3 linked regions of the Oreochromis niloticus genome follow. The protein of the gene in region 3 purifies or fractionates together with the protein of the main gene of each other region. This does not show direct contact. Links are inferred from orthologs where the notes say so. Each region holds a gene or a part of one and is shown on either strand. Other genes may lie near its edges.

Region 1 (11,284 bases), on a different chromosome or scaffold from region 3:
TAGTTTGAATGAAAAATCTGAATTATCCAATACGTGTATAATACAGCAGAAACTGTCATGTAGCCCGTCTAACTGGGCTGAGTATTTAACAGGACTTGAAGCGCTCAGACACACTGTTGTTTCATGCTGTTATTATTACAGGCTGCCAAAAAACAACAACAAAAAAGAAAAATAGGACCAAAGTAAGTCCTCCAAGCACCAGGTGTTCAAGCACACAACTGTTTCACACACCAAAATCTGCTGACATGTTAACATGTACTGTATCTGTGAGATGGCCTGTGATTTTAGTTTGGATTTTCCTGTACCTCGGGCACTGACAGGGTCATTTCTGCATCTTTCTTAATTTTTTATAAAACTGATTCAGAAAATGATCACATGTCAGTAACTGTCAGAAGGACTACTTATTTTCCCAGAGTGTGACAGTATGTAGCATGTACATAGATGGTCCCCCACTCTGTATATACAAAAGTGTACAGGTTTGATACAGCTATTAACATTCTGGCTTTTTTTTTGGCTTTTCTTCAGTCGTAGCAATATTTCTGTAATCAATAAAAAGCCATGGTACTAGGATGGGTATGATTGCATTTGTGTTTATTTAGGAAGGCGTGAGAGACTGTGAATGATCAAACTGTGACATAACTTATCACAGGTTTAGTTGTTTTCTGTTTTACATGCTGGATCCAAAAGGCTGAAATGAAGTATCATGTTGCAAAATGAGTATAAGACACTGATTATTTTGATTGATTTTATTTTATGTTTTTCAATCAATGAAAGCCATAAAGGTTATATAGAAGGACAGACCTTAAGAAGCAAAGAGGATGTGTACACCTAATAAAAAATTAAAAATCATGTAATTACTTTTTTCTTGTGTTAAATCTTTTGAATATACGTTACTATCAAGTGTTCTTTACTATTACTATCACAGGGTTTTAGCAGTTTGCTGCAAAACATAAATTTCTAGTTTAGCTTCTGCCTACATTTCTTCATTGTGAAAATTAAGGTCCACTTTGTTAGGTACACCTATTTAACTGCTAGTTAGTGCAGCTATCTAATCAGCCAATCACATAGCGGCGTCTCAATGCAATTATTCACGTAGACATGATCAAGACGACCTGTTGATTGTAGCATGAAGCGCCAGATGGGCTAGTCTGAGTAATTCAGAAGCTGCTGATATTTTTGCACATAACCATCTCTAGGGTCGACAGAGAGTGGTCCAAATAAAGAGAGTGAGCAGCAGTTCTCTGGGAGAAAATACCTTGTTGATGCCAGATGTAGGAGGAGAATGGACAGGCCGCTTCAAACTGGCAACAGTAACTTAAATAACTGATTGTTCTGTCAGCTAAGAACAAGCAACAGTACCTCAGATACCAAGGCATGCTGAAGAGCGTCTCTGAATGCACAAACCACATTGAACGTTGAAGCAGATTGGCTACAGCAGCAGAAGACCACCAAAAGTGGACAAATAAAGACTGGAAAAACTTGGTCTGGTTTGATGAGTCTCGATTTCTGCTGCAGGATTCAGGTGTCAGGGTCAGAAACAACATGTAAACCTTGATTCATCCTGCCTTGTATCAACAGCTGATGTGTATAGTGGCAGTGTAACTGCGAGGGGGATATTTTCTTGGCACATTTGGGGCCTGAGTGTGTTCATCTTCTGATGACTGCTGACACCATGTCACAAAGCTCAGATCATATTAAACTGGTTTCTTGAACATGACAAGTTCACTGTACTCAGACGGTTTCAATCTAACAGAGAAACTGAGATGAGAGATAATGGGAGATTCACATTATGGATGTACAGCTGTCAAATCTGCAGTAACTGTGTGATATTGTCATTTCAATATGGACCAAAATCTCTGAGAAATGTTTCCTCTATGCTGAATCTATGCCACAAAAAAATCAAACCAGATCTGAAAGCAAAAGAGGCGTACCTAAAAAGTGTGCCAGTGTTTCAGCCAGGTGAGATAATTCAGCTCCTGACTGACAGACTGAAGTAAACAGAGGCTATTTTGCTCACATATGTGAGGTTTTATCTTTTAAATAATGTCTGCAAACAAACTGTGAGTTGTGCAGTCTCAATAGTTCTTGATTAATGTAACTGTATTTTTATTCTTTAAAAGAGATAAAAAGCAATGACACCATCTACAATATCAATGACAGAGGACAAGAAAGATGTTGTGTTGTTGTCTGAATACATAAAAGGAAAAGAAGCCTGCCTGAACAGGGAAATCTTTTTTTTTTTTATTACTGCTGCTTTTATTACTGTTATGTTTTATGCCTTAATACATAGATTTGTGCAACCTTCTTCCTCATTGCATCATTTTTACTCTCTGATATTTTGTTTACGTTTGTGAAAACCATCTTGCAGTACATTGCAGAAGTTGTCTTGACTTTGTTCTGATAATCAGGATGCGCCTCTGGAGTGATAATAATAATAATTTCTACACATTTCTATTCCAAAGATTTTTTAGGCACAATTTTCTTGGGGGTCTTGATTACAGACGCAACAGTGGTCTCGTTCTCAGATGTTTGCGGCTCGGAGGACCAGGGGTTCCATCCACACAGAACCGCAGCAACAGTGTAGCCTCGAAACTGGAAACACACACACAAACACAGGATCATGGTTGGTCATGAACATACAGCATGAGCCTGAATCCCTCTTTGTGTTTGTTTGTATGTGTGAATTTCAGTGTACTTTAAACCAGCTTACCTGTCTGTTCATGAAAATGTATATGATGGGGTTGTAGACAGTGCTGCTTTTTGCAAAGTACACAGGAATGGTAGCGATGACAGGGTCGACATATAGACTGGAGTCTATCATGACAGCAAGTGCAAGTGCGGCATATGGCAGCCAGGTGACTAGGAAGGCCAGCACCATCACCACTACCATGCGCGCCACCTGCACCTCTACACGACTTGTGCTTCCTGTTTCAGATACCTGCAGCTTGGTCACCTAGGAAAAACATTCAAGGGCAAAGGACTCCATTATGTTTTCAATACAATCAACAAAAATATAAGGTGTGCGCAGCCTCTTTGTTGCTCACCTGGCGGAGAGTCCATAAAAGCCGCGAGTAAGAAACCATGACGACAGAAAAGGGCAAGGCAAAGCAAAGGAAGAAGAATATTATCATGTAGGACATGTCCCCAACATCACGGCTATGCCATTTAGGAGCACAGGAGGTTTTGACCCCCTCCAACTCAAAAGTTCCCCACCCAAACAGAGGTGGAGTGCTCCACACAAATGACCACACCCAGGACAGTACCACTCCAGCAACTGCATGCCTGAGGACAACAGAGATGGTGTCTGACATGCTTGGTACAACAAGGAACATTCCCAAGTGAGACCTTGATGGTCACTACTGTACCTGGTCTGGAAGAGGACCGCACCCATGGGATAACACACCACTACGTAACGTTCAACAGAAATGACTGCAACTGTGCACAGACTCGCTATACCTGCAATAAAGAGAAAGTAATTCATGACTTTTGCGTTCTAAGTGTTGCATTTGTGCACACTGTTGAGTGCTACATTTCAAGGAAGAAATGCTAATCTTATTTTAATGACATTAACTATAAATATATGGACTATAGTACATAATGTAACTTCAAACAAAAACAGTTCCTTCAAAATATCTTAAATAATTCACTTTAAGTAACTTTTTTAAGCTCAAAAAGTTCAAAAGCGGTCATTAGAAAATGAAAGTTTCCACAGGACTGCGTGCATTTGAAATACTAAGCAAGGTCTGGACTTTGACCAGGTCACAACAGCACCTTGACTCTTTTCTTTTTTCAGCCATTCTGTTGTAGATTTGCTGCTGTGCTTGGGATCATTTATCTGTGGCATGACCACATTGTGGCCAAGCTTTAACTGTCAGACTGACATTTGTCTCAACAATACTTTGGTATACAGCTGCAAAACAAACACAAATCATCACCTCTGAACCACCGTGCTTAACAGCTGGTATGAGGTGTTTGTGCCGATGTGCTGTATTTGGTTTTCACCTCTCTGCAATAGATCCAGACATCTCAAATATAGTCTTATCTGTCCAAAGGACACTGTTCCAGATCTTGTGTTTTTTTGATTGTTTATTCAGATACAGCTTTGCAAATCTGACATAATATAATTAAATTCTCTTCAGATGCTTTTACTTGAGGTACTTTTACTTGTACTAGAATACCTTATTGTATTTCTTCTTTTATTTATGTGAGGAAAAAGAAAATGTAGACTCACCGAAAAAGGAAACAGCAAAGGCTTCTAACACACAGCCCACACGTCCCAGGTTGAAGTATCCCATGGCGCTGGTCACTGTGGTGGGCAGGCCTCCAAACACAGCACAGCCCAGGTCACAAACAGCTAGGTTAACCAGGGCATAGCTGAGTGGCTGCCTTAGCTGTCTGTGCTTCACCGTCACCACAATCACCACGACATTGAGGATGATCCCTGCCACAGAGAACACACCCATGATAACGGCCAGAATTGTGTAACCAGTCCGGGACAAGAGCTCCGTGTTGGCTGAGCTGTTAGATGATGAAGAGTTTCTGTGGAAGGCAGCACTCTCCATTTTGCTCTGTGAAGATCAGGAGAAGAATCTGGTGACAGTATGAAAAACCTCAGTGATGCCTGGTAAAAAACAACAAACAAAAAAGTGTCAGATCCCACACATCTAACTCTAAAATGGCCACATTGTCAGCAAGGCAAATAAAATAGCAAGTTCAGGTATGTGTTTAGCATTTTTTTTAATCATTTGATAAATAATGTAGCAATAAGAACAACTACAAAACTGTTCAACAGATACTGCGTGCTTGATATTCTGAGAGCGAAGCGAGGCCCTCTAAATAAGCCCAGTAAGAGGAGAGGAGGCCGTAGATGACTTGCAATTCTCAGAAAACAAAATCCGTCGAGCCGGATTGTGGAGAGAATAATTCTGTCTGATAGCCTCTAAGACTGCACTTTCCATGATTGCTCAATTTACAGCTGCTCGTGAGTAATGATGCAAAACGTTCATACAGGATCGACCGATATGTCTACAGAATTCCTGCTGGTTTGTCACACATTTTGTAGCCAATAATGGAATAAACTGGTAATTTATGGATACCTGTCCTTGCCTTTTTATGTACTCTCATTAAAAACTAATGAGACGTTAGCCTGATTGAGTCACTTAATGACACAAACTGGTTAACTCGTGGCTTATTTGAGAATGAGCTCAGTGTCAGTGTCTCTGTTTATAATCATCCTTAATACCTACACAACTCCTAATGAATGAATGAATGAATCCATAAAGCTAAAAAAGAAAAGGTGCAATAACAGAAAAAAATGACATTGTGATTTGTTGAATTAAATTCACCTTGAAGATCTCATTTACATTTTCTGCCCAACAGATCTATGGATCCATCCATAAGCACTTTACTAATCACTAATATATTGCTCCCCAAAACTATATGTGATTACATTTGCAATTTCTTGGCATGCTGAAAAAACTCAATGAATAATTCCTCTTTTTTAAGAGTTAAGACACTAACTAACATTGGCTGTAACTAATAACCTCATCAAAAGACAGTTTCCTGCACTGAGCTGTTAAAGGCCATCAATAAGAACTTTTGGGTTATTGACTTATTGCCATAAATAAATACTCCTGTACTGTTAATGCAAAGAAATCTCAACATGTAATTCTCCAACCAGTGGCAATCCATTATTTCCATTGTCTGAGACCGAACTCTATCCTCCAAGAAGATAATGCTCAAACTCACAGAATGAGGTTTATCAGAAACTATCTTCAGAATTGAAGAGTGAGGATGATAGAATGGCCTGCCTGCAGTCCTGACATCAACCCCATCGAACACTTGTGGTGTCAGCTTGGGTGTGCTGTTTGTGCCAGAGTCACCAACACTGACACATTGGCTGACTTGCAACAAATGCTGCTTAAAGAATGGGATACCATCCCACAGCAGTGCGTGACCAAGCTGGTGACCAGCATGAGGAGGAGGTACCAGATGGTTCTTCCACATGCTACCAAATGAATAAACCATTAAATTGCTAATATGCATCTTCAAACTTCAAAAATACAGTCCCATAAACTGCACCAAACAAGATTCAATAGCAGAATACTTTGTTTGGCATTGGGAGAGAAGATTTTGCAAGTTTTTCATGGACACAGCCCACATAATCAACTCTGCTGCTCAGCCCACAAATGCATTTTCCTTAAAAATTTAGCACCACTTAGGGGGAAATAAACAGGGTTTCCAACCATATAAGATTTATTGCCAAAAAGTGTGTAATCGACCAATCACACCCAGATGATTGCGCAGAGAAATTAATTCCCCTCCGCATCGCTAGAGGGCGCTAAAGCGCAGCTGTGTCTCTGCTTTTTAACCGGGTCACCGGCAGTAAACAGTACAGCAAACATGGCTACCTCCGTCAGGAAAGCAGCTCACGATATCGAAGCGCGAAAGCGGACCGAAGACGTGATTCTGTCGGAGGGGATCGACTTCGGTTCCTTGCTGCTGTCTCAGCCCGTGTTGGACGGACTGTCCGCCGCGGGATTTCAGAAGCCGTCTCCGATCCAGCTCAAGGCGATCCCGCTCGGCCGCTGCGGACTCGGTGGGTGCAAAACAAAACTGCGGGAGGGTTCACATGTGTGTGTGTTGGGGGTAGGAAAAATAAAGTTTTCAGTGTATAAAACTTATAATTGATTTTATAAAAAGAGCAACAAAATACCTTATGTATGCACGTGAAATCAAATCACTAACTTACATTAGTGCATTACATACATCAGGGATCAGAATCTGTTATCTATCCATCATATATAATTTTGCATGTCTGCTCAGATACATGACTGGCACTATAGTTAAAAATGATTATTGTTATTATTATTATCATCATCATCATCATTATTTTATGTTATTTTTTTTTTACAACTTTTTAAAGTATTTTAATTTAAATTTTTTGTTGCAAAGCATATTGGTCATACATATTTAGACGCAAATGATTAATGTGATGTGATATATTATGCCTCAAATCTATCTATCCATTCATTATCGTCCGCTTATGCATCTCCTCATAAATATGAAATGAAAAACTATTGTTATAATTATTATTACTGCAATCAAAAAACACACTTATGGGCAAATTTATGGACCTAAAACTTGGGTGGCTGTGGTTAATCAGGTAGAGCATCTACTAACTGGGAGGTTGGCGGTTCGATTCCCAGCTCCTCTAGGCTACATGTGAAGTGTCTTTGGGTGAAACGCTGAACCCAGACTTGCTTCACGCTTGACTGGTAAATCCAAATCTTTGCTTCCCGGTTCAGCTAACTCTTCATCTCACTGGTCCAGTAAAGTCGGCACATTACTTCGATACAGCACCAATCTGCCTGCCTATTTCCGTTTTATCCAGACACATGAACACCTTTGTCGGGAGGTAATATTATCTGGAAATAGAAACACATGAGAGCTAAAAGATAAAAGGTAGTTTATCTAATTTGACTTCCTCCCATGAGCTACCAGCAGCATCTCCTTACAACGTGCTCCTCAGAAAGACTTTAGCTTTCCTTCATGTAGGACAACTCATAACTGTCCCTGAGGTAAATTAATAAAAATACTTCCCTGTCCTTTTGGCCACTAGTGCAAAACTGACATTTGGACTTATTAAAAGAACATAATGTAAAAAGGTTATTACATGTGATATCATGGCAGTAGAGACAAAGCATCGTGTATCTGATCTAAAAATCTGTTGGTACAATAGCTGGGTGTGTTAGAGTTAGGTCTGTTAGTAAGTGGACACTGATGCTTTTTTGTGAATTTTAAATCAAGTTGTCAAAATGTATTTGAAGGGAAAACTTTCAGCTTTAATTCAGAGGTTTGACAAAAGTATGAACAGTAAGACCCCAGACCCTAAAGAGTTGCATCAACTGTTCAGGAAGAATTTCCACTTTCTTTGCCCTCTGAAACTCTCGGGTTGCTTCTGCAGGATGCTCTGAGTCATTTTCCATTTGCATAGTTTTGCAGCACTTGGATGAATCTGAATTCCCCTTTACACTTCAAGGTACATCCTGCTACCAGCAATCACATCATCAATAAACACTCAAGGCCCAGATTCACAGGCAGCCATGCATCCCTGTGATTTCACAGTCATAGTTCGTAACATTAACTCCACTCTCTTTGATAGATGGTGCCTCTGATTCCCGAACACTTAATGCAATACTTTTGTTGAACCCCTTGAATTAAGCTGAAAGTCACATCTTCATCAAATCCACTGTGATGTGTACACAGGGAAAAAGAATATAAACTTTATGGACCTAACTGCAGAGATCTTCTATATTATTAGTTTAGAAAAGAGCTTAATATGGCCCCGAGACTTCAGCTGTAATCCAAATATTTTTTTACTCTGAATAATTCAATCATGTATTACATTTTAATGTAGTTTCTTAAAACATTTCTTTATACAATATCAAATTACATGTTTTCAGCTTCTATGTCAATAATATATATTTCATCTGTGCAATATTCTGGATATTTATAATTGAGCTATATATTAGAGTTTCTTCTATTTTGTGAACTTTGTTATATTATCGTATAATTTCATTTAGTTAAGTCTGTTACTGTTGTTATTGTCTATCTACTGTAACTGTACTACACTCAGACTGTACACTGACTTTTGTTGTAAACTTTCCTCAAAGCCATGGTCAAATGAGAACAAATCTTTTTGTTTTAAAGGATATTAAAAAGTATTTTATTTTGAAAAGCTCGAAACAACTACATTAGTACTACTAAAGTACTTCTTTAGTCCTTCTTTTGACTATCATAGATATCACAACTGTTCATCGTGATTCTGAATCACTCTTTGGGATCAAATGTGTTTATTGCCTTTAAACATTTTACTGCCTTTACGAGGTACAAATTCAGAATAGTTGCTTTCCACCTGGAGGTTGCCTGTGTGTTGGAAAAGCTCTCGGCTGCAGCGGTGATGCAGAATGTGCTTAATTTCATTGTACTTGAGGTAAACACTTGTTAATTTAAACCATGGTAGGAGACAATTGATTTGATGCTGAGGATTAGGCAGCAATACTTCACCCAGTCATGGTAATTAACTGCTGATGCCAAAACTGTCATTTGCCAGCCCTGTTGTGCATCGCTCACTGAGTCTCTCCTTTTAGATTTGATTGTACAGGCCAAGTCTGGGACAGGAAAGACATGCGTGTTCTGCACCATCGCCCTGGACTCTCTGGTCCTGGAGAATCCTTCAACCCAGGTCAGTATAATATTTGATTATGAGGATATGACCTACGTTTGCACTCGGACGGTTAAAGTAAAACATCATCAGAAGAGGGAAAGGGGAAGTTTTATTATTTAATCATTTCATGACCAGCAGATGGCCTTCTGCTGAGTTTAAGCTGCTTAGTGTCAAACGCATGAATGAAAGGGAAGAATGATTGATAAAGATGAGCTACACCTGGTCTTGTAGAACAAATGTAATCTTATTAGCTCTGGGGTCTTACTGTTCATCCTTAATCTTCTCCCAATCGAGTATAAGCGTTTTTGTTTTTTTCATTTTTGACACTTTTCCCTCCTGCAGGTTCTTGTGCTGGCTCCAACACGTGAGATAGCGGTGCAGATCCACTCGGTGGTCATGGCCATAGGCTGTGCCATGGAGGGCCTGGAGTGCCATGTTTTCATTGGCGGCAGGCCTGTGAGTCAGGACAAAACCCACCTGAAGAAGTGTCATGTAGCCGTGGGCTCACCTGGTAGGAAGCCGGGATAGTAGTCGGCGGTGCCACGTCACGTAATCGCCACGCCGCTGTTGTTTTTGTTCGGTAACAGTGTTCCGGTTGTGTGCTCAGGTCGCATCAAGCAGCTTATCGAGTTGGGCATGTTGTCAACGGCCAGCATCAGACTGTTTGTTCTGGATGAGGCAGACAAGCTGCTGGAGGAGGGCAGCTTCCAGGAACAGATAAAGTATGAGGATACAATTTCTGTGATTACACTCCTATTAAATGAGCAGCAGGCCGCTGTAGCGAGCAGAGTGTTTTTCAAGCACTACATTTAGACTGAAGCCGTTTATATATCGTAACCACATTTACAAACCAACCTAACCTAAAGTTCACCCATCATCCTGGTCCTCTTTAGCTGGATCTTCTCCTCGCTGCCCGTGAACAAACAGATGCTCGCACTCTCCGCCACCTACCCAGAATCCCTTGCTCAGCACCTCACCCGCTACATGAGAGAGCCCACCTTTGTACGGCTAAATCCAAGTGACATGGGCCTGAAAGGTAAGACTCACTTTAATAGGTGGAAAAAAGAAAAGAGAAAGATTCCTGAGTTTTGGCCTCTCGACATTTTTTTAATGTATTTAAATTGCTGTCATAGCAACAGAGACTCTGCATAATAAGACTACATGGATGAGATAACCAAGTCTGAAAACTGACATGTTTGATGGGATTATTTCCTGACAGAAAATTCTTGGGGGGAGTAATATGATTGACAGTAACAAGGCTAAGTTAAGGCACTCTTAAAAACACTCTTCTCTTCCACAGGATCCTATTTTTAGCTCTGTGCTTATTTTGAGTGAATGTCAGAACACGAGAATTTTAATTCGCACACATCACTGGCAGAGCACGTCCCGCTCGAAGGACCAAAGTTGTTAGGTCAGGTTGAATTAATGACAGCATGTATGTTGTCCTTGTGTCGCCCCCTGTCAGGTCTGAAGCAGTATTACAAGCTGGTTCAGTCCCATCCGTTACCTCACAAGGTTTTTGAGGAGAAGGTGCAGTACTTGCTAGAGCTGTTCAGTAAAATCCCCTTCAATCAAGCACTGGTGTTTTCCAACCTACACACACGGTATGTGATGCTGATTGTATTTATTACCAAGAAAAAGTAATTTTTTTACACTTGTTTTATATAGAATGCATAAAAGCTTTCTGAAATTCTAATGCGATGAATTGCTACCACAGGGCTCAGCACCTGGCAGACATCCTGTCCTCCAAAGGTCTGCCTGCTGTTTGCATCTCTGGTAAGACTGCTTTATGTGATGTATAGTAATGTTAGGATGGGTCAATAAAAATGGTAAAACTGAAAACTCTGGTAATTGATTTCTATTTGAATTGTTGATTTGTTAATGTTCTTTCATTTTAAATTTGAGGCATTTCTATACTGGTACACCAGCTGCTTTTGAATTTTAGAGATTGAAATTCATTCATTTGTTTCTTGAATATCTTGTACGTGTGACTATTTCTTTGGCCAGGTGGTTTATGATTTGCAGTGTTGCCTGGCAACATTTTGCATTTCAATA
Region 2 (11,217 bases), on a different chromosome or scaffold from region 3:
CATTGTGGGCTGCGTTGGCTCGGGCACCGTCTGTGTTTGGGGCGAAGCCGTGACACACGGTGATTGGCTGCGTGGAGAGCTCCACTAGACACTGACACAGGCCGCTGAGACTGCGCTCCTCTGAGAACAGAAGGAACAAAATACAAAATCACGAGAGCTTCATTTTTATTATAAAATAGATATTTACGAGATTACTGCTACTTTTTAAATAATATCATAACATATGTATGGTGTACTTCAGGATGAAAGATTTGACAGCTAACATTGTTATTAATACTGTACATCTGATTCAATGTACCGTTATTTTATATAGGCACATTAATAATATGATCAAAACTACTGTAACTAAAACATGTATTAGAATATAGTTTCACTCTGTCCTCTGCAACTATTAGAATATAGTAATAACTAGCCTCATCTACTGCATATATTAAGAAAAACTAACACTTTTGTCACGATTTCATAGATCATATAGTTTGTAGAGGACAAAATAACGGCCGTGACAGGTTTTAATACTACAAAAAAAGAAAAAAAAAGAATGTGTGCTAATTACACAAATAAATCGAGCAGAGATAACAAACAATAATAATTCGAATCATAAATGTAAAGCTGCTGCGTTAAACTCTGTTGTTTTGGTGAAGAGCTGTCCACATTAAAAAAATGGTTCTACATAAAACCAAGATAACAAGCAGCTGCAGGCTACTTCCTCAATATCTGGTGACAGTAATAACGACCACAACACAGCTTGCCTTTTGTTTCTTGGCATGACATCAAAATCTACCCTTTATCCTCTGCAAATAGTGTGTGCAGATGGTGCAAACCAGATGTGAAAGCAGTAAGAGGCTTTCACAACCTAACAAGTTTGATCTTAAGCAGCACAGTGAAAGCTCCACTGAATTACCATATTTAACAGATACTAACAAAAATGCAGCTCTTCCTGTCATCAGGCCCATCAGCAGTGGCTCTTTACGCTTTGAATACCATCCTCCTTTTAATGAGAATGCAAGAACGCAAGAGAGAAGTGTGACAGGTACGCTCTGTGAACTCACCTAGGTCCAGGTAGCTGACATCAAAGCGCTGCTCCAGAGACAGTTCACTGAGCAAAGAGCAGAAGTTGGAATCAGAGGGCATGCCCAGAGGGTGGCTGCGGAGTTGGAGGATCTTCTCACCGGCAGAGTTGCGCAGAGAATCCCACGTGCAGCTGAAGCCTTTACTTTTACCCGACTCCGCTCTGCTGCCCATGTTCTGTGCATGCAGGAATTAATGGACAATGTCATTATGTGCCATAACCCAGAGATAGAAGAGTAACAACAGGGCATATGAATCAGAGATTATGCTAAATTAATAATGCTTCAGAAAAAACAGAAAAATAAAATTTAAAAAAATATTTTGTTACTACGTAGAAGTGAAGTAAACTCTAATTCCTCTAATGATGCTTAATAAACATTTGTCAGTTAGTGTAGCAGTGTTTGATTCCCACCATAGTAAATGTATCATCTTCTGCATCAGCATCATTGCTGGTCCTCATATCTACGGGGACATCATGTATGCGTGACAACATCTTAGCTGCTGCGTTTCTCTTGGCTAGCTTCTTAGATGTACCGCTTCCTGGTGAGGAAGAGGAGATTGCATCAGAAACCAAAGGATGTGCTTGATATCTCTGAAGTTTTTCATGCTTTAAGAGAGTAAGTCAAGGAAAGTCACAAACTGGTTGACCAGTGTGAAAGGCGTAACAATAGATATATGATTTTGCTCAGTTTTATTAAGCTGTTTTCTATCAAAAATATTTAATTAGTGAACACACACCACCCACACACAAAATTGTGTTTTTCATGTCTTTGTGGGGACATCTAATTGACATCATGCTTTTCCTAGCAGCTTACCTTAACCATTAAAAATGAATGCCTAACCCCAACTAACCAAACTGTAACCCTGACACTAAAACCACATTTTGAGTCTCAAAAATGCCCGCAAACTCGTGGATCAGGCATTTTGTCCCCACAAAGATATGTAAACATGGTACACACACACGCGCACGCAGGCTGAGAGATTGAAACAAAGCCACGTACCGATTTCTACAAATCTCTCCACTCTGCAGGTCATGGTGAACTCTTTGCGATGTGCTGGACCAGACTCTTGAGTGACTGTGTACTCTGGCAAACGCCATCCTTTCTGCACCACCAGCTCCTGGCAGAACAAAGTAAAAAAGAAACCAAAAGTTGGAAAATTTATAAGCCGCAGAAATAATGACAGCAAAATGAAACCTTGGTAGCTGTCTGCGTTTATTTACCTGCAGAGCCCCTACAGGGTTGCATTCAGACTGCTGTGAAGTGCCTGTGGTCTTCATCTCTGACTGGGCACTACACAGATGTTGAGAAAAAAACAAAAAGGTAACAATGAAACCACACAAACCTCTATCTTACTTTTGTTAAGTGTTGAAATGCTCTTCTTAACATTCAGGCTGGCCTGCTTATTGGATGTTTAAAAAAATTAAACAGAAAAACTGACCCATCTGCATCAGTAGACACATCAACCCCAATAAACCCGTCTACTCCAATACCAACTCCGGCAGGACCTCCGAGGCCTCCCTTTAGCATCTTCAGAGCAGCCTCAGCTGCTTTGTGCTTGGCTGCCTTCTTGCTGGGCCCCTGGCCGGTGCAGCTGATCTCTCCGACGGAGACGCGGAACGTGAAGTTGGGCTGGTGGGCCTGTCCCTCGGCCTTCAGCAGGTCATACACTGGGGTCTTGCCTATCCGCGTTCCATACTCCTGCAGCAGACTGATGGGCGTCTTTCCGGGATTCACAGCCAGCATTTGCTCAATACTACATAAGAGAAAAACCTCGCATGAGACAAACTCTTCAGAAACACCTTTTCATACAAACAAGAAAAATAATTGTATATAGGGTTTAGTATATTGTGTGTAACTTCATAGTTTTACTTTGTTATCTATTATTTATTTTCATTTTCATACCTATATTTATTTTAGTTTTTATTCACTCAAAAATTAAAACAAAAACTATTAGGAGAGTAAAAATCTCACTAAATATTACGGGGAACTATGTTTTTGATACTTTTTCTATATATTTTGAATTCTCTGTCTTCAAAAGTAAAACAAAACACAGGTTCAAACAGAACTTGGACATATTAGAGTTACAGAAACAATTACAGTTACATATATCCATGCTTATATTCACCAATTAAATGAGACTTTAATTCACCTGAAAGTTGACAAAAATGTCAAATAATGTAGACAGAAGAGTAGAATAAAAAACTAAGTAAAAAGAAGAAAAATGCAATGTTTTCAAAGTCTGATCTGTATAAAAATAAATGGCTGCAAAAATGGTCATAAAACATCTGTGTAAAGTTGTGCTTCATTCTCACTGGAGAAACCAAACAGCCACTTCATAAATGGCACAACACAGAAGAGCCACCTCGACAGGACAAGACTCGGCTGCACGTCTGCATCTAAAGGTCAAAGGTCAGTCTTTCAAGGATGTCAATATTCACATTTTGGACAAAAGAAGACAGACGGTTTGAAAGAGGAGTGAACGAAGCCATCTATGTCCACTGTGAAGCATCATCTTTGAACTCTCTGCCACCTATAGTGTAGTTTCCCATGTAACTCACATGATAGGGTGAAGCAAGGTCTCACAATGGGTTCACAAGAAACCTCTGCTGATAATGACCCACACCCTTTTTCACACCTTGGCCCATGTGATGAGCCACATGATCAACAGTTGCTTACAATCTGGGACTTTCCAGCATTTGGTCATAGAACTGACGTAGCTTCTCGGATGAGAGGTAAAACATGTGCTTTAATAATGAAGGGTATCCTTCAGTGTTACTACTAGATAAGCTCTATGGAGCTCAGGTCCTCAGACATGGATAGACTTAGACAAAAAACAACAACAACAACAACAAAAAAACTTTCTTTAGTGGAGATCTGAATTTCGTGTTTAATGCACGTGCTGTAGATCAATACAGCCATCACTGATCTAATTATAGATTAATAGTCACTTTTCTATCGGAAAGGGGAAGCTTACAAAGTTTTCAGTGTGAGTGTAGCTACTTTATTATCGAAGAGTCTGAATACAGTGTGGAAACGGAGTAAAAGAGCATGGATGTCACCAAAGTCTGCAGACGACCCGATGCCGTCATTCTGGCGTCACAGTTTTGCAACGTGCAGCTGTCAGGAAAAAAAAAATGCTAGCAGTTCGTGTTTACAGCTCTGTTTCTGAAACGCTACTAAAAGCCAGCCTTCTCATCTTGTTTGTTACTGGAGGAGGAGTGTGGTGGACTGACCGGGGGAGCTGTTAGCTTAGCTTTACCTGGAGCACCCGGAGTTTCTCTTCCAGCTGTCCGATGCTGTCTCGTCGTTCATTCCCTATTTCACGCAGACAGAGCCGGTCGGTTTCGGATGGCAGTTCCCCCCCACCAAAACAGACACTTGCTTTCATCAGACGCTGTTTATTGTTTCCCCTTACAGATGATGAGGCGACGGCATAAAGCGAAGCCCCCCCGTCACTGCCGCCCCGACAGACTACAACAGCGGAATCCTCTGGCGCGAGGATATGACGTCAGCGGCTCACTGCGAAACCTCTGTTTTTTTTTAGCACGTTCAACGCTGAGATTTCACGAAACATCTCTTTCTATGGATGGTACAGACAGAAGTATACAACAGGCGTCAATCCAGGTATTTATGCACATCAGAGAGGTCAAAAAGTCAGACATTCTTCTTTCGGCTGTTCCCTGTAGGGGGCGCCAAACAAACCATCTGCTGTAGCATCGGCTGTGTCCCAATTCAGGGTATGCACGCTTGAAGTACGCGCACTACGCGTACTACGTACGGTGCGTACTACAAGTACGGGAAGTGCGGAAGTGAGAGGCTTGTGAAATGGGACGATCTAGCCTTCGTCGTGCTGTTCAGGTTGCCTAGCAACCATGATACTAACCGCGAGAAATGTTTCATACAGCTTTGTGTGACAGAAATGAAGGAGAAAAAATGTTTTGTTGTTCATTCATTTTTGTCATGACATCACTTTGATTAGTTGAGCCCACAGGACTGTAAAACATGATAGTTGGGCTTCATTTCTGTACTGAACAGTCATTTCAAGATTAGTTAGTAAATAATAATTAGCTAATGTTATTCATGAGACTAAAGTCATCTCACTGTGGTGATGTTAATATAATATGGACAATATTATATGTATTGTATATATATATATATATATATATATATATATATATATATATATATATATATGATCTTGAACTCTGGGTCAAAGATGCAAGTAGCAGTTATTTATATTTCCTATCACCTTAAATCTTCACTCAAAGACAAGTATCTCTGACAGTGTATATACAGATGTATTATATATAAGAGACAAACATTGTTCTTTCAATATGTTGGCATTACTAAATTTGGCTCAATGCTTATATATATATATGTGTAAAAAGCAAATGTACGAGCTGTGATAACCGTTTCTGATAGAATGAAGATCAGACTGATATATGAAATATTCCTTTATTGGGTGAGAAAATCAGACCGTGTCATAACTGCGTTAACTCATACAGAATAGATATCAGAGCCTTAAACAGGCTGACTTCTGCTAAATGGGTCAAACTGGGCAGAAAGTCTACAAACACATAACATCCTTATAGAATATGATGTAACACTATGGATCAACTTACCTCAGAATATATAAAGCATATAAACAATTACAGCAATATGATGCAACAAACACAGCAGCACTACTGATCCAAAATACTCAAAGCTTCATAGAACTGAAACAAACATTTATTTTTAGCTCCGTTCTGCTGCTGATACATACTTTAGGTTTCTGAATATTAAACTTGTTGCTGCCTTTCATACTGTGTAACTTGAAGGCTCTGAGTACTTTCTCTCACACTGAAAACACTGGAATGATAACATTATTTGAACATTACCTAATAAGACTGATTCAGGACAGACAATTAGTTATGTTAAACTTTCCTAGCAGTCCTTCACAAACAGGGAACAGTCTGTCTATTCTCTCCATCTGTCAGCTGCTGCTGGCTCTTCCTCCTCCTCTTCCTCACACACTGCTGAGTTTGTCCTGGTGGATCATCAGGGGTGCAAAGCCTCACAGATGATGTGCAGCAGTGGGTCCCTCAGTCTGTCCTCACTCTGGACACTTGCAGTTGTCACACATGGAAATCAAATGTGTGATAAGCTGCAGGATTCAAACACAAGTGTAACTTATAAATACATGTTCATACTTTTATTCCACAATCAGAGAGAAAGAAACAGAGAGAGAGAGTGCAGGACAGACAGACAGGTGACAGTCTCAGGTGTACACACTGCTACAAAACAGCACAAGAGAAGGAGGATTTAGTGTTTGTGTTATTACGAGTGCTAAACAAGAAGAGTTCCCAGATGGTCCAGTGGACACATGTGTGACTCCTGTGATTAAAGCATCTTTCTTTCAGCTTAACGAGTGAACCGTCAGCTCGTTCAAACACACGTTAAAGTCCGTTTGGCTCGACACCACCGAACAGAGGCAGCAATATAACATAGCTAACATTAACAGTGCAGTGAATCCTGCTTGTGCCGTCATATTCAGGACTGCAAACCGAGCAGCATCACTGACTTTCAGCTTGTTGTGTTTGTGGATATATGACTGACTTTAATTATCCATAAAATCATCACATTCTCTGTAAGATTAAGGTCAACTATATATATATTTAGAAGTAGAGGCTTTAAAACCAAGTTTACGCTGAAAGTACAAACATCACTAATGTCACATAACTTTCCCGACATGTGGCCAACAGTAATGTTTTAATGTTCTTAAACATTCGCACATAAATAAGTGACATCATATTCAGTACTTACTTTTGACAGTTCACTCTTCGGCCGCTCCCTTCTGCCGTATTTTGCGGCAAAATTATCCACACCCACCGCCGCGCTATGGATTGTGGGATATATGGGGCCAGGAAGCGTGCACCGGACCACGCTTGATATTTGGGGAAATCGACGGCGCATTTGGAGTATGCATTTGAAGTACACTTTGAATTGGGACAGCCGTCGTCGCGTGGCGGTGACGTAATCGCACTTGAAACGCGTACTTCAAGCGTGCAGACCCTGAATTGGGACACAGCCATCGTCTTCTGTCACACCACCCTACTACATGTCCTTTCTCGCTGCATCTATGAATCTTCTCAGTGGGCTTCATCTTTCCCCCTGCTTGGCAGCTTCATCTCCAGCTCAAATCTCAGCATCTTCAGCTCTGCCTGCTGTCTTTTGTCAGCGCCATCATCTCCAAACTGTGAACATGGTCCACATTTTTTGGTAAATGATCGCTTTCACGGTAGTGAAGTCTTAAAAGTGCAGCAGGCCACTGAGGATTTAAAAACAGATTGGTAAGAAAACAGAGAAGTCCTGCATCACGTTGAATTACATTTGTTACTTAACTTTTAAGGTATTTGTTTTAGCCTGTAAATAAAAAATCGCCTTATAGTTTATTTTTTACAGTCATTTCTACAGTTTTATATGTTTTGCATGAGGTAGCTGAACTGTGTATGATTTGGCGTTCCTAAATGTAACCAGAAGAGGGCGACAGTTAGCTATAGATTTCCCCCGCTGACAGCCCTCCCTGTCGGGTCCCTGGGATGTCCAGCACCTGTCATATCCACTACAGACCAACGTGGCAACACGAGAAATTCCTTTCGTGTAGTGGACTGACCACCCTAAAGCTGAAAATAAGTTTTTGAAATCAGATATGCCCCAAAGTGTTTATTCTGAAAACATTCAGAGTTAAACCTCTCCATGGAATAAAAAAGGTTATAAACTTTCAAAAGAAACATTTTCAGCACTTTTAATTTATTTTAAAAGATTACAATGAAAAATAATTTACCCAAGTAAATGTTTTTACAATGATATTACAGTCAGGCAGCTCTATTAATTTGGGATCTTTTTCCCTGCTTGGTTTGGAAAGATGTGTCTTCATAAATAGCCAAAGGAACCGTGCAGACCCCAGAAATCATCTGAACCCACAACGTCAGAGTCTCCTTTCCAAATTATGTAGCAGCGCTTTCGTAAAATGTTTTATTTTATTAGCATTTTCCACCTTTCCATGAATTATCTTTAATTCCGGGGATCAACAATTAATCCCATGATGGTGTGCTTGCAAAGCCCTGCTGGCCACTGTCGAACCAGAGCTCTGAAAACTTCGTCCACTGGCATCAGCGTGTCAGTGTGGATAAGCCCGCTTTGCCAAACGCAACACAAAGTGAACTGGCCATGACAATGAGTAGAGCTGCCTCCCATTTGAACTCCTAAACCTACAATCCGAGCAGCGTGATTTATCACTGACCTGAGTATCTGTGACCGGAGTGCACCCCTCCTCCTCATTACTCATACTTACAGTGTTAATTTGTCTTATTCTCTGAGACTTTATTTATCAGCTGAAGGCTCCAATTTATTGACCTATAATGTGATAATGTAAGCGTTTTTATTGAGCTTGTGGTTAAATCCTTGACTGAATGAGATCAGCGATGAATGCCATCTCTTAGCAGTTACAGTATACTTCATCCAAATTGTATGCGCACATCCACAAACACACTTTCCTTTTCCCTGCCTTGGCCTGGTGCATTAGTATGTGTGGTTCTTTGCTTGCCAAAATCATCAGTAGATATCTTGAAGCCCCGAGCTGCTCTTTTTCCCTCCTTCCACAATATGATGTGTTTCCTTTTTTGTGTGTGTTTTGATCCTTCTCTTGCGGCCAGGCTGTGCTGTGGTGAGGCGCGGGTTCGAGTGGCGCTCCTGTGTTATTTTTGGCAGCAGCAGTGGTTGGTGGCTGTTGAGGAGAGAGGAGACAGAAGGGGGATAGCATGAAGACCAAAACCAAGGCTGTTTAAGGGATTTCTGTCTGAAGGAATTGCTTTGTAATGATCGCACACTCATTATGGATGTGCGTGCGTGCATACATTCACTCACGCACACAGAAAAAAAAAGCTGGCATGCACATTTGTTCATTTAACACTTCTCAAACACCTCGTATACATGCTCTCATTCATGGACCACACACTCAGAGTGGCTAAATTGCCCAACCTGTGATTTTTTTTTTCTTTTTCACTGAATCTACACGATCCACAAGCTGTCGTTTGAATATATCAGCACAGTCACACATTCGGCTTTGGTTAATTTTCTGTGTTTCTGTCATACTGGGAGTATCTTTTGCTGTGAATGTTCTCTCTTTCTCTGAGGGAACCAGACTGAGACATGCTCAGGCAACACGCAGTGTCAGACATTCACGCTCCTCCCTCCGCGCTTCTGAAAACACCATTTGAAAAAGATTTTCTCCGACTCCGCTCTTGGCCACAGATCAAGAGAACGTTATTACTCGACTTTATTTATTTATATATTGTGGTGGTAATGTGTGTGAATGTATGCGCGCTTGTATGTATGTGTGAGTGAGTGATATGTAATTGTGTATGTATGTGTGTTAACCCGCAAAGATATTTCAATTTCTTCAGAATATTAAATAAACATGCAGCAGCAGCAGCAGCTTCAGTGAAGCGCTGCCTGCCAGTGGGTTTTGGGTTGGATGGGTGGCGGTGGTGGTGGTGGTGAAGGGGAGAGGGGGTTTGTGGCCGTGGCTCTGGGGGGGTGAGGCAGCTCATGGTCAGGGCCCCCGCCGGACACACTGGCGCCTCGCGCTGGAGGACTTCTGAACCACCACACTCCTCCACCAAACCCTGCCAACCCTGGCTCCCAGCTCCCACTTCCAACCCAAATCGCTCAGTTCTCCTTCTGCATTTTGACTCTCTGTCTCTCTCTCTCTTCTCCCTCCTTCCTCCCTGACTGTTTTTTCCTTCTTCAGTTTCCTCATTCTGTTGATTCGCATCCAGATTCATTTACTATTGGACTCCGTTCTTTTTCTCACTTACTGCTGTTCTTTCAGTGGCGGTTCTCCCCGACTCTGTTTTCTCTACCTTTTCTCCTGAGAGCTGTGGGTTTTTACACCTCCGCCACCCCTTCTCTGCACTGTCTCTCTTAAATCCCTTCACTTTAAATGTTCCAAGGAAGTATTTAGTGGCTTGAACTTAAAAAAAAGTAAACAAGGATGGTTTGGGCTCTGTGTCAGTCAGAATACCGTCAAGATAGTAAGCATTTTCAAAAGGAAAGAACACTTTAATGGTGCTCTAGATATTTGTAACGGTATTAGGTTATAATGGGCCATCAATTTTCTGAGTGGTTTTCCAACCAGCTCCAAGAGATATAGGCCTGCTTGTCTTGAAAGAAAGAAACTTTCCATCGTGGTAAAAATGGGGTAAACCGTGCTTTGCTGTATATGTCCTCATGATAGATTCTGTTAAAGCTGTGATCTGCACGCGAAGACAATCAGGATGGGGCGTACGTGATTATTGACAAACAGCCAAAGTGTGCGCCTCATTCAAACCCCGTAAGCAAATGTGTGTGTGTGTTTTTTTTTTTTCTTCAAAGAATCACAACTGCACCTACTGCTGCGCATATTTGACTTATGGATGCCAAACATCCTAAGTTGAGCAGATATTTCTTTACGTGTCACACATGCAATTTTCTTAACCTAATTTTCCCCTGGAAGCAATTTGTCATCCGGAGGCCATTAAATGGGAAGCATATTATCTTTTTAAAGGGGCACAGAGTCACCCACAACCCTCCCACAGTTCCTATAAACAAAATGGCCTCATTTAGTGGTGCATTTGGTGCGTTGGGCAGTGAGGGAGCACTTCTTTTTAAACTTTAAAGGAACTTCACAGACTAGGAAAAAAAAAGCTTTAATATTGTAAGATTAGCGTTGGAAATATGAGGAGCATTACAAGTTTGATGGTGTGAGGCGCACAGCTTATACTTGATTCATTAACATCAAGGCCGGCCAAACCTCGATCGCCAGTGTAACAGTGAGCGTAGTACAGCGAGGAGATTTAGGAAGTAATGCAGTAGGACGCAGGATTGGGATTGAGTGGAATTTACTGCACAAATAAAGCAAAAACCACAAAGATGCTTAATCACTGAGACACATCTTTTGTACATTGAACCTTTTCATAGTGTAGTTTCCTCTTCAGCCACGTAAAGAATTGCTAAAAAAGATAAAACAATTCAGCATAAAGTACATCAGCAAAGCATGCTTGACCTTTTTACCTCTTGCCCTCTGTCACCTGTAATGTCTTCCTCCTTTACCTTTGTTTCGTTTAGC
Region 3 (10,627 bases):
TCTTTTTTCAGTGAGAAGCCTACATACAATAACACACTTCACAGTCTGATGTCAAAAAACAAAACCGAGGTGCGCACCTTTGAGAATGTAAGACAAAATGTCAGTTTTCCTCGTCACCACGCAAACACAGAAGCACAGTATCTGTCAATCTTCACCACTGGAAGCAGCAAAGGCTGCTTTGGGTGATCTAAAACAACGTTTACATGTGGACGAAAGTCCAAAACGCACAGAAAAAAATTTATGTTTACAAAACTGTATGTTTGTGAATACTGGCTGAGGATGGGGGGACAGTGGAGGGGATCTGGGTGATATCTGATGCTTTTGCTATTATTAGCAGCTGCAGCATTCAGTGTTTCAGAGAAGTAAAACAAAATTCAAAATTATAAATTTTTCTGACATCCGCTAACTCTTCATCACACCATCTTTGACCTAGAACCTGACTCGTGTAGGATTTTGAACACTCAAGCCAATATTCAGGGATTTAAAACTCAAATATCTGACTGATATTTTCCTTCTTTCAAACACACAAAACATTTGTATGTATATTTATTTATTTGATAGTTTATGCTTTGCCTGACTCTGCTCAGATCCGCTCCTCCTTTCATTTGTGGTGACCCAAACACTGTTGCAGGGAAGCTGCAGAGTGCCCACTAGTGGACAAGCTATACACCATCAACATTCAGAACGTGTTTGAAAGGGTGTTTCTCTCGCCTGTTCTGGAACTTATCTGATTTTATAATTGCTGATACTGAAAGGTCAGCAAATAGCTAAAACTGGCTGAGAAATCTGTTGGGCTCTGCTTTAAACATTTAGCGAGCACAAAATCAGCCACTGTAAATTTGTATCTCATCTGCTAACAGGCTGACATCCGTCTAAAACGGTGATAATGGGTGACTTTTCACAAATGTGTTCAGGCTGTCCTAGAAAAATGAAAAAGCACAAGCTGCAGCCGTCATTTTGAACAGGTTTTAGTCAACAGACCGCACACTTGTGGCTGTAGAGCTCATACAGAGTATAAATACACCACTGAATAAATTCTTCAGAGAACTTCAATTACATTTTTCCAATGTAACTGAAATTACAAAGAAAAAAAGACAAAAAGGCAACTTATTTTGTATAATTTCTTTCTCAAACTTAATTAAAATACTCAGGTTATTTTTCTCATTCATAGTTTGACTTTTTTAACTTATCTGCAGTAAGACTTATGGGGAATTTAATATTTAGTTTTTTTAAACAAATTAAGAAAAAATGTTTCTGCATATTTTCTGATTTCTTTGTTGGAACAAAAATAATAAATAATACAGCTACTTTTCACCTGTACCCTTATTCACAACAAGTCACCACAGCAGGCAGCTTAACATGTTTGATTTGGCACTTCTTTTTTTTTTTTAATTATGGGGGGGTTTTTTTATTACTTTACACTGGATACCCTTCCTGACCCATCCCCAAAGGGTTTTTTTCAAATGAGTAAACCACTACACTATGTAGCCACACCAATAATAATATACAAGAAAAACTTATTTAAATCTCACATTTGTAATTATTTTGGTACAATAGTTGAATTATTATTATTATTATCATTATTATTTATATTAACATTAACAACAACAACAACAACACATGTACCAAATCTACACCAAATCACTATATTATAACCTGAAAGATGATTTTAAGTGTTAACATTTTTGCACTTTATTGTAGGAGATGCACACAGCTCTCATTATTGCTGGACAAGCTCAGCCATATCTGCAGCTTCAGATATTTCAGTCAGGACACACTCCATTCCCTTCAGTGCATTATCTTTTAGCTCCAGCGCTGTTCATTCAAACAGAAAACCTTTGATAAAGCCTAGCAATATATGGTGGATTTTAATAAGTGCCCTTTAGTTAAGTGCTTTGCACATAAGTGCACAAAATGAGGTGTACTAGTGCTGACTAGTTGAAGAGCAAAGCATCTTCTGTAGACTCTCACAGGATCAAAATACCTATATGCTTTTTGCTGGATGGTTTCACTATCAGAAGGTCCTGTTGTTTTTCAGATGAGTACATACTGTGATGCTTGAAGGATGTGTGAGAAAAAAAAATGTTGCCACTTACACTGGACCACTACTAGGGTCAATTTAAAGTGTTAAAGCCCGAATATGGGAAAAGCTTACCAGAGCTTACTGACCCAGTAGAACCGGGTCCCTCAAGCATCTCAGCAGCTACAGAGAACAAAAATAACATGTTATAAATGCTCAAAGATCCGCTCAGTCTGATACACACTGTATTTCAAAATAAAGAGTAATAAATGTGTACACCTAATAACATAGTACAGCCCAGAGACCAAAGATTACTGCTTAACATAACAAAACCATTTGTTTATGTAGTAAGCAGTAAGAGAGCGCTGCTCATTTATTACATTAGCTTCATCCCAGCAGGCCTTTCTTATCACTTCCACAGGAGTCTTATCAATAGACACGCAGAAAGTATTGAGCAGCTGGCAATCTAACTGATGAAGCCACCCCTTCCCCCTAGAAATAGACTGCTTCAACACACCGAGTCGTGTTTTGGTTGAACAACACATCCTCGTTAAAATAACTGCAAGTGGGGGAAAAAAAATTGTCCAACATAGTGCTGATGTCGCCTGTACTCTCTTTCATTCAGCCTAAAAAAGCCAGCTGACAAAAAACAGAAACGCACACATGAAATACAACGATATGCAAATCTACACACACACAAACACAGCGTCTGTCTGACTAACGACAGGCGGCTCAGTCGCTTAACTATCTCTACCTAACGTCAAACTTAATCAAGCAGACTTCTCCTGTATCATTTAGTGTCTTAAACCCGGTGTTACACTGAAAAGACGATCCGGTGGCGTTAGCGCGTTTATACCGCTGGTGTATTAATGTGACATATGTAAATGTGGCGATTTCAACTGTCAGGCTAATCGTATCCCAGACTGGTGATGAGATTAGGTCGGCCTCGAAATATTGCTTCAACTAGTGTGTTTAGTGCTTCAGTTCGAGAAAAATGAATGATATGCGTTTACGTTCGTGTGATTTGTTAAGAAAATATATGCCAGCCAACCCCCACTTGGTGAAAGTGCAGTGAGTTAACTAAAACAAGTTCGGGAAACCAGGTGCCGTTGAAGCTAGCGTGGCTAGCGGCAGCTTGTTGTTGCACGCTAGCTAAGCTTGCCTCTAGTACTAATACACTTAAAACTGGGACGACATGTTCCTCGTCAAAGCCGTTGTTGAGTTTTACTGTAACGAGTTGGATGAAACGGGAACAGAGCAAGCACTTCATCGATGCAGCACAGAAAAATGCCGCTTCGTTATCGTCAGTTTTCTTTGGCCGCATCACGTAGCCCATGCTAACGTTAGCCGCAGCACTTACCTCCAGCAGAGGAATACATTTTGTCGACTTTTTTTAAGCGTGTGTCGTGGACGCACAAACACTCCGCTTAGTTTTTCGCAGAATTCCACCAAAACTCATCCGTAGTCGAAGTGTATTTATATGTCCAAGTGCAAGGAAGGAAACTCGGTTCTAAAAAGAGATATTTAGTTAGCCAAGTGGTAAATATTTGAAGTCTCTCATCCTCGGCTCGGCCCCATCCCCCCAACACGCAAAACGGGAGCCGAGAGAAAAGAGAGCGCAGGGTAAAGAACCACGCGCTTCAAGATGATTCTTTCCCATTCCTTCCGCCTTTGGTCACTTTACTTTCGGTAGTGTATATATTTACATTTGGACTTCTTTTTTTAATTACCCTTCTTTTTTACAAGACATATGTATTCATCCCATCAGTGTAGTCATGAATGTAGACAAAAAGCTAGTATCCGTATCAGTCCACGAAATGTGATTCTTTTTTTAAATAAATATAACACATACTATATAACACATACATACACATAATACAACACAATTTAGACAAATCACGTTTCCTATCAGATTTAGTATTTTATTAGCCAAAGTTAGCATTTTACACGGTTGCAAACATTTCAAATACGGTAATTTCGACTTAAGGGGAAATATTAACGTTTAGATTGATGTGAAGTGGGGAACTATCTTGCTTTTCGGTGATGTCAGACGCACGCTGCGCGGTCTCAGTAGTGATGCTAATTCAAATCTTTAAAAAAACACCAGAGATCGCTTACCTGGCTTAAAAAACAACCCGACTTTTTATAACCTGGCTAAAATACAGGTCTGGTTTAAATACGTACATATATATGTATATGGCCACGAATGTGGGTTTTTAAAAATGTCAACAAGCAAAGTAATATACCAAGTAGTTTGTTTCTTCGGCGGAGGAAGCATTTCCGGGGTACCAAAGTTTTTTTTTATAATACCTATAGCTAGTGCATAGTAATGGATCCACAAAAACTTCCAACGTTATAGTTCATTATAATATAACGACAGTACATACAGAAGATTTATCAAGCCATGTGATTTTATATTATACGTTGAATTTTACTTATGCTAAAAATTACTTAAAGTTTAATTAAGGGGAATGAATGAAATAAAATTAGATGTACACGTTCAAGAAGTGAATTATTGTCTATAGTAACAAAAGCTGAAGAAGATACACACAGGTAGGTTGTTTCTATTGAATGTTTTTATTTGTTTATTTATTATTTGCTCATCCAGATTCCAAATTTTCCAGCTATTTGTTCATATTTCAGTGGAAGTTAAACCGATACAAGATCTATAAGCAGATATACGAATACAGAGGCTGATTTTCTGGGTTGTTTACAGAATATTTGAATGGGTGGATAAAGCCAGATGGAACACAGATATAGCCATAATGTACATTGAGCACACGTCTCTTTAACCGTGAGCCTGGTTTCGCGTAGCTGATCCCGTTTAAAGTAGAATTATTTATTGTATGAATTGCAGATTTGAGTTATGAAACATGCAGAATGTTTCCGCATGTGTGCATCCAGTAAGCAGCACCTGCTGAAACGCCCATGTATTATTCCAAAACTTTGAAACAGTTGCAGGCTGTTTTATCAGATTACGCTGTTACCAGTGTCACGTGATTCAAATTCCCCGTTAATTTAATCTAATGCGTATATTTTTAACCCTGGGCGTCTGGGTTGTGTCAAATTTGAGTGAATTTATTTTATGTTTTGTTGTGGGTTTGCCAAAGTGAACGACGTGCAGCCCCTCGCTTTGTCCTCTTGTCGGCGCTGTTTACCACTGAATGTGTGGGTTGATGGCCGGAGCTCTGGTCTGTGTGCTCGGCAGCATGCTTCAGAAGGGAATAACATGGATTAATATTTAATGAGCCGTTTATTGATGCCGAGCCGTGTAAACAGCACAGACAGACCGTGTTTGATTTGCCGATGATGTACAGAATTTTGGGGATCATTCATTTGATGCAAGAAAAGCTTTTTTTTTTTTTTTTTTAATTTCCATGGGGGTTAGGCAATGTGCCTCTTAAAATGAAAATGAGAATATATTTATATATGTATGTATAAAAAACCCGAGCTCAATGGTTTAAGCTGCTCAGTTTCATGTCTTTACGATTTTGTTTTATTATTAGATTATTAAATTTTATTCCATGTTTCCATGCGTGACTAGAGCAGCTAGTAAATTCTGTTCTGATAAAAACGCGTAAATAAGGATTAATAAAGACAAGCGTGATAATCGGTGGCTCTTGCAGCACGGGCCTTTTTGGTAATAGGATTTGTCCTTCTAATTTATCCTTCTGATGAATTGGCGACACTTTAATTGCCGCCATTGATTGATAGTATAAAAACACAACAATGCAGCCAACATGCAGCCCGGGTGGCTTCCCCCCTTATAAGAAAGCTGGCGGAGTGAATTGGGTGTAGCTGTGTCTGTGTGCGCCTTGGCCAATGGAACCAGATCCTCCCTGCAGTGCGTAAGAGCGCGATTTAGGATTTAACCAAGTCTTTGCTGCGGGGCTGGCTGCAGTCTTCACCAGAGCCCGACGGCCTGAGAGCCTTTCAACAATGCCAGTGTAGTTTTTTTTTTCCACACCGCTCTGGAGACAGACGCTCTCGGTTTTTATTATTGATTTTTTTCTTTCGTGTTTTGTTTTGTTTTTTTTCTGCTGATTAAATAAAACGAACCCACGCGCTCCCTCTCGAAGTATGACCGGAGTTTTTGACCGGAGGATCCCGAGTGTGAAACCTGCAGACTTTGAGAGCTCCTTTCAACTCTCCAGCATGCACCATCCGTCTCAGGAATCTCCTACTTTACCCGAATCCTCCGCCACGGATTCTGGCTACTACAGTCCCGCTGGAGGAGTCGCTCACGGCTATTGCTCGCCCAGCTCCACCTCTTACGGGAAGCCTCTGAATGCCTATCAGTACCAGTACCCGGGTGTAAACGGATCTGCTGGAAATTACTCGACAAAATCCTACACAGATTACAGCTCCTACACGACCCCCTCCTACCACCAGTATGCTGGGACTTACAGCAGAGTGCAAGCCCAGCCGAGTCCACAAGGTACGGGCCTAACATTTTATATTTTAATAGAAGCAGATTGTTAGAGGGTTATGAAGAAAACATAAATATATGGTTGGGTCTTTTAAAAAATTTTTATCCAGGTTTACCATTTCGTCATCTGCTGATTTGCACGAAAGGTCTATAAATGCGTAATTAAAGGAATAAATGCAAATGCATGCTTCACATTATTTCATTTAAGTTCATTTAAAGGAACCACTTACTTTCCTTTTAGTTGGACCGAAATGCATCTGGTTCATAAAAATTGATGTCTTTTTTGTTATTACTCTTATTTTAATACATCTGAACGATGACACACACGTAATAGATACATTCGGATAATGCGGTTTTGGGGGAAAAGGATACATGTTTATACTCGGTTTTCTTTTTGTTTTTTAATAGAAAAAGAGATAAGCGAGCCTGAGGTGAGGATGGTGAATGGCAAGCCGAAGAAAGTGAGAAAACCCCGGACAATCTACTCCAGCTTCCAGCTGGCCGCCCTGCAGAGGCGGTTTCAGAACACACAGTACCTGGCGCTGCCGGAGAGAGCCGAGCTGGCCGCCTCGCTGGGGCTAACGCAAACACAGGTGGGATTTTCGATTAAAAATACATCTCAGATCTCTCAAATCACTTTCACTTTGGAATAAAGTATCTTGTTTTAAGTGTTTCAAATGTTGAGAATAAAATAATGATTTGCGATGTTTTCTGGCTTTGTTTGTGCGTTTTTACGCAACGAGCGTTCTTTAAGCTCCATTTGTTTTTGAGATGATTTCGGAAGTAATCATAATAATAATGCGATTTTTGGGCTCCTTGCAGGTGAAAATTTGGTTCCAAAACAGAAGATCAAAGATGAAGAAGATCATGAAAAACGGCGAGCTTCCCCCGGAACACAGCCCCAGCTCCAGCGACCCCATGGCCTGCAACTCTCCACAATCCCCGGCCGTATGGGACACACAGGGTCCCTCCAGGCCGCACAGTCTACAGCCACAAAGCATCAACACGACGGCTTCTAACTTTTTGGAAAACACGGGGTCATGGTACACCTCAGCCGGCAGCTCCATGACTTCCCACCTGCAGACCCCTAACTCAATACAGCATTCGTTGGCTCTTGGAGCGGGGACGTTATATTGAAAAAAAGAAAAGAAAAAGAAAACTACACTAAACAAAACAAACCTATTGTTGATTTCATTTCCCCCTCCTTCTATGGGACTCGTGTTCAAATTTCAGAGGAATATGCAATGTATTTGATGACAGTCATAGAAGAAACGTGTAAAATGTGTAAATGTGTGCATGTAATTTATTGCATTTTGGAAGACTATTAAACGTTTAAATGGACAATGGAACTTTGAACCCCACCCCCCTGCCTCCCTGCAGTCTCTTGTTATTTTAAACCCTTAGTTATTTGCTCTGAAAATCACGACAAAGGCTCGCAGACAGCCTCGGGTGACATTTTTTGTTGTTTGCTTCCACAAGGTTGTAAATCACGGCTGCGAGGTATGTTGAGCTGAACGATCAGCATCAAATCTTAATGGTTTTCATGTGCAATTACGGCCTAGGTGTGCGGCGTATTTTTTTAAATGTTTTATATTTACTAAAAACTGGTATTTGTCTGAAAAAGATTTTTGCAGACAAAATTTAGTCTATTTTTTTCTAAGAAATTACAATTAAAAAACCAACATATTTGAATGAAGGCAATATATTCTACATTTGCGATGAATGCAAAATCAGAAAAATTAAAGGGCAAATTTCTGACTGAGCTTACATCAAGCAAGCATTTGTCAAGATAAATACCTGTAAAAGCAAAGGTACAGGCAATGGTAAGCGTCAGCCGACCACACCAATCACATTTTACTGAATCGAGCTGGATGTATTTGTTCTATAATATTGCATCTATTATTGTAAGTCGACAGTAGCTTATCTTCTTAATGCCATTTTTAATTTTATCAGACAAATGGTAACATGATAGGATTTGCTCATGATACAGTAATAATTCATATTTTTCAGTCAGTCCCCGTATTCTTCTTCGTATTTTTATTCTTATTCTTATTGCACCTGATTGAGTCTTTAAGCTAGTCTGTAAGGGAAATGCCCGCTTCTTCCTGCAGACGGTCTGCAGCCGGTCTCGCTTCTTTGTGTCCCCTACAATTAGTCGCTTTGAATGGCAAGAGAGGAGGCGAGGGGGGCGGCACGGAGATCTGAGACAATCCGCATTCCTGTGGGGGTAGACCGGCTCCAGAGCTCTGCCACTCCCGGCCGCCGTACACAGCCCACCTTCCTGCTTAAAAAATGCAAGAACTGAAAAGAAAAAGGAAGAAAATCCTACACAGTTTGAACATGTCATTAGCAGGCGATAATACCAGCTCTGCCAGTGGGGGTTAAAAAAAAAAATCCATTAAACAAACCGTGCCACTGTGACAAACTTAAGAGAATTGATCTAATTGAATTTGCCCCGCCATATGCGCCAAGATAACATAAGTGAGTTTTTACAAATGTTGCACACAAAATTCCTCCCCTTCCCTCTCTCTCTCACTTTATCTCTGTGTCTCTCTCTCACACAACATATACTAAACAATGCTGCATCTGACCCACACACTGACCCATGCATGTTACCATTTCCACCTGACACAGAACCCTCTTCCTGATTGCAGCCCACTGAATAGACTTCACACACACACACACACACACGCACACACACGCGCAGCTATAGGAAACGCTCTCCCTAATCTAAAGCACTGGCAGCTTTGCTGCTTTAAGCACGATTTCTGCTGTGAACGAAACGACAGAGCGGTCACTGCGATGCTAGTGTGTCACTCCAGAAATGTAAAATTTTAACAGGGCACGTGCACGTGATCAAGAACACTTTAGCGCGCGAACCGACGGGCACACGCGGGTTTATATGTCTCCTACACACACAAACACACACATACACACACAGGCACACACACAGCTACTGTACCTCTCTCTCTCTCTCTCTCTCTCACACACACACACACACACACACACACACACACACACACACACACACACACACACTTGTGGTGCCATTATATCGAGAGCCTCCGTTTATTTCCCAACCGAACATTTTCCACTCAGCTAGTTTTCCCCCCGTTTTGCAAATCGAGTCTAAATAATGACAGTTAGCTTTACTGGACAGCTTCAACTGTAACACTCCACAATAATTATTCTCCAGGATTAGGGCCTCCATTATCATAATCTGGACATTGACAATTACCTATAATTTGCAAAGATGCGCTTGGTTCTTGATTGCAGAGGGCTTTTTTTTTTTTTTTTTCAAGCTCGCCATCACTAAACAGTGACAGTAATAACAGCTAATTTTGCAGGCAATATATAAGAGCTTACCGGGGTGTGCAAACACTTTCCCACCTGGATTTGCTTATTCAACCACCAGCAGTAAAAACCGTGCAGCGCTTTTTTGGGGGGTTTAGTCTATGTTAGAGAAGCGGAGGAAGGTAAGGATGAGTCTTATATTTTCTGTCACAGCTTCCATTCTTAGATAAGGTGCGACGACACCCTTCACCCTTCACTTTATTATATAGATTTAGACAAAGAAATTAAAATCTGATGTACTTGTGTATGTATATCTATCTATCTATCTATCTATCTATCTATCTATCTATCTATCTATCTATCTATCTATCTATCTATCTATCTATATATATATATATACATATATACATATATATATATATATACACACACATATATATATATATATGTGTGTTCTTTTAAAGAGAGACTGCTCGGATTGTGGAAGCCTTTTCGAGATTTAATGTGGTACAATTTGTATGAAATGTTGTCCAGTGCTTGCAGCTTTTATGTGAGTAGTGTGAGCATCACAGAGCAAGTGACACATCTCTCACTCCCCACCCCCATCTGCTGCATCTCTGTCTATCTATCTATCTATCTATCTATCTATCTATCTATCTATCTGAAACTCATCAAAGCTTTTATCCGCCATTAAAAATCGTCATTTTTTTTGGTGCTGAATATGCGCCACTGCGTATTTATGAGCTCTGTTGATGTTTACTCGACTGCTGCTTTCGGCTCCCTGCAGCCCGATCATGGCCCAGGAGCAGATAGGCCCCAGCCTGGGGGCCCAGGTATGCTGAATGTGCGCCAGTGGGACATCCGCGACTTGACAGCTGCATGAA

What was found.
Region 1: the proteins of ago2 (region 3) and ddx20 purify together in Homo sapiens (affinity purification with western blotting; 3 studies listed by BioGRID). This does not show direct contact. The link is inferred for Oreochromis niloticus from reciprocal best matches to the Homo sapiens genes AGO2 and DDX20.
Region 2: the proteins of ago2 (region 3) and tarbp2 purify together in Homo sapiens (co-immunoprecipitation; 10 studies listed by BioGRID and IntAct, with this or other methods). This does not show direct contact. The link is inferred for Oreochromis niloticus from reciprocal best matches to the Homo sapiens genes AGO2 and TARBP2.

What each region holds. Positions count from the first base shown.
Region 1 is NC_031984.2:17,469,837-17,481,120, forward strand, and holds the start of ddx20 (putative ATP-dependent RNA helicase DDX20), read left to right. Parts: upstream 1-6,382; 5' UTR 6,383-6,402; coding exon 6,403-6,598; intron 6,599-9,152; coding exon 9,153-9,247; intron 9,248-9,571; coding exon 9,572-9,740; intron 9,741-9,836; coding exon 9,837-9,951; intron 9,952-10,122; coding exon 10,123-10,265; intron 10,266-10,694; coding exon 10,695-10,833; intron 10,834-10,946; coding exon 10,947-11,005; intron 11,006-11,284. Other genes in the region: parapinopsina (parapinopsin a), read right to left, coding at 2,452-2,592, 2,711-2,953, 3,045-3,282, 3,366-3,456, 4,232-4,562.
Region 2 is NC_031970.2:5,770,678-5,781,894, forward strand, and holds the start of tarbp2 (RISC-loading complex subunit tarbp2), read right to left. Parts: upstream 4,546-11,217; 5' UTR 4,383-4,545; coding exon 4,330-4,382; intron 2,824-4,329; coding exon 2,509-2,823; intron 2,361-2,508; coding exon 2,291-2,360; intron 2,188-2,290; coding exon 2,070-2,187; intron 1,609-2,069; coding exon 1,481-1,608; intron 1,246-1,480; coding exon 1,050-1,245; intron 121-1,049; coding exon 1-120. UniProt on the Homo sapiens protein: Required for formation of the RNA induced silencing complex (RISC). Component of the RISC loading complex (RLC), also known as the micro-RNA (miRNA) loading complex (miRLC), which is composed of DICER1, AGO2 and TARBP2.
Region 3 is NC_031985.2:24,709,109-24,719,735, reverse strand, and holds the start of ago2 (protein argonaute-2), read right to left. Parts: upstream 4,311-10,627; 5' UTR 3,400-4,310; coding exon 3,381-3,399; intron 2,204-3,380; coding exon 2,156-2,203; intron 1-2,155. Other genes in the region: homeobox protein Dlx5a, read left to right, coding at 6,101-6,458, 6,858-7,042, 7,272-7,586.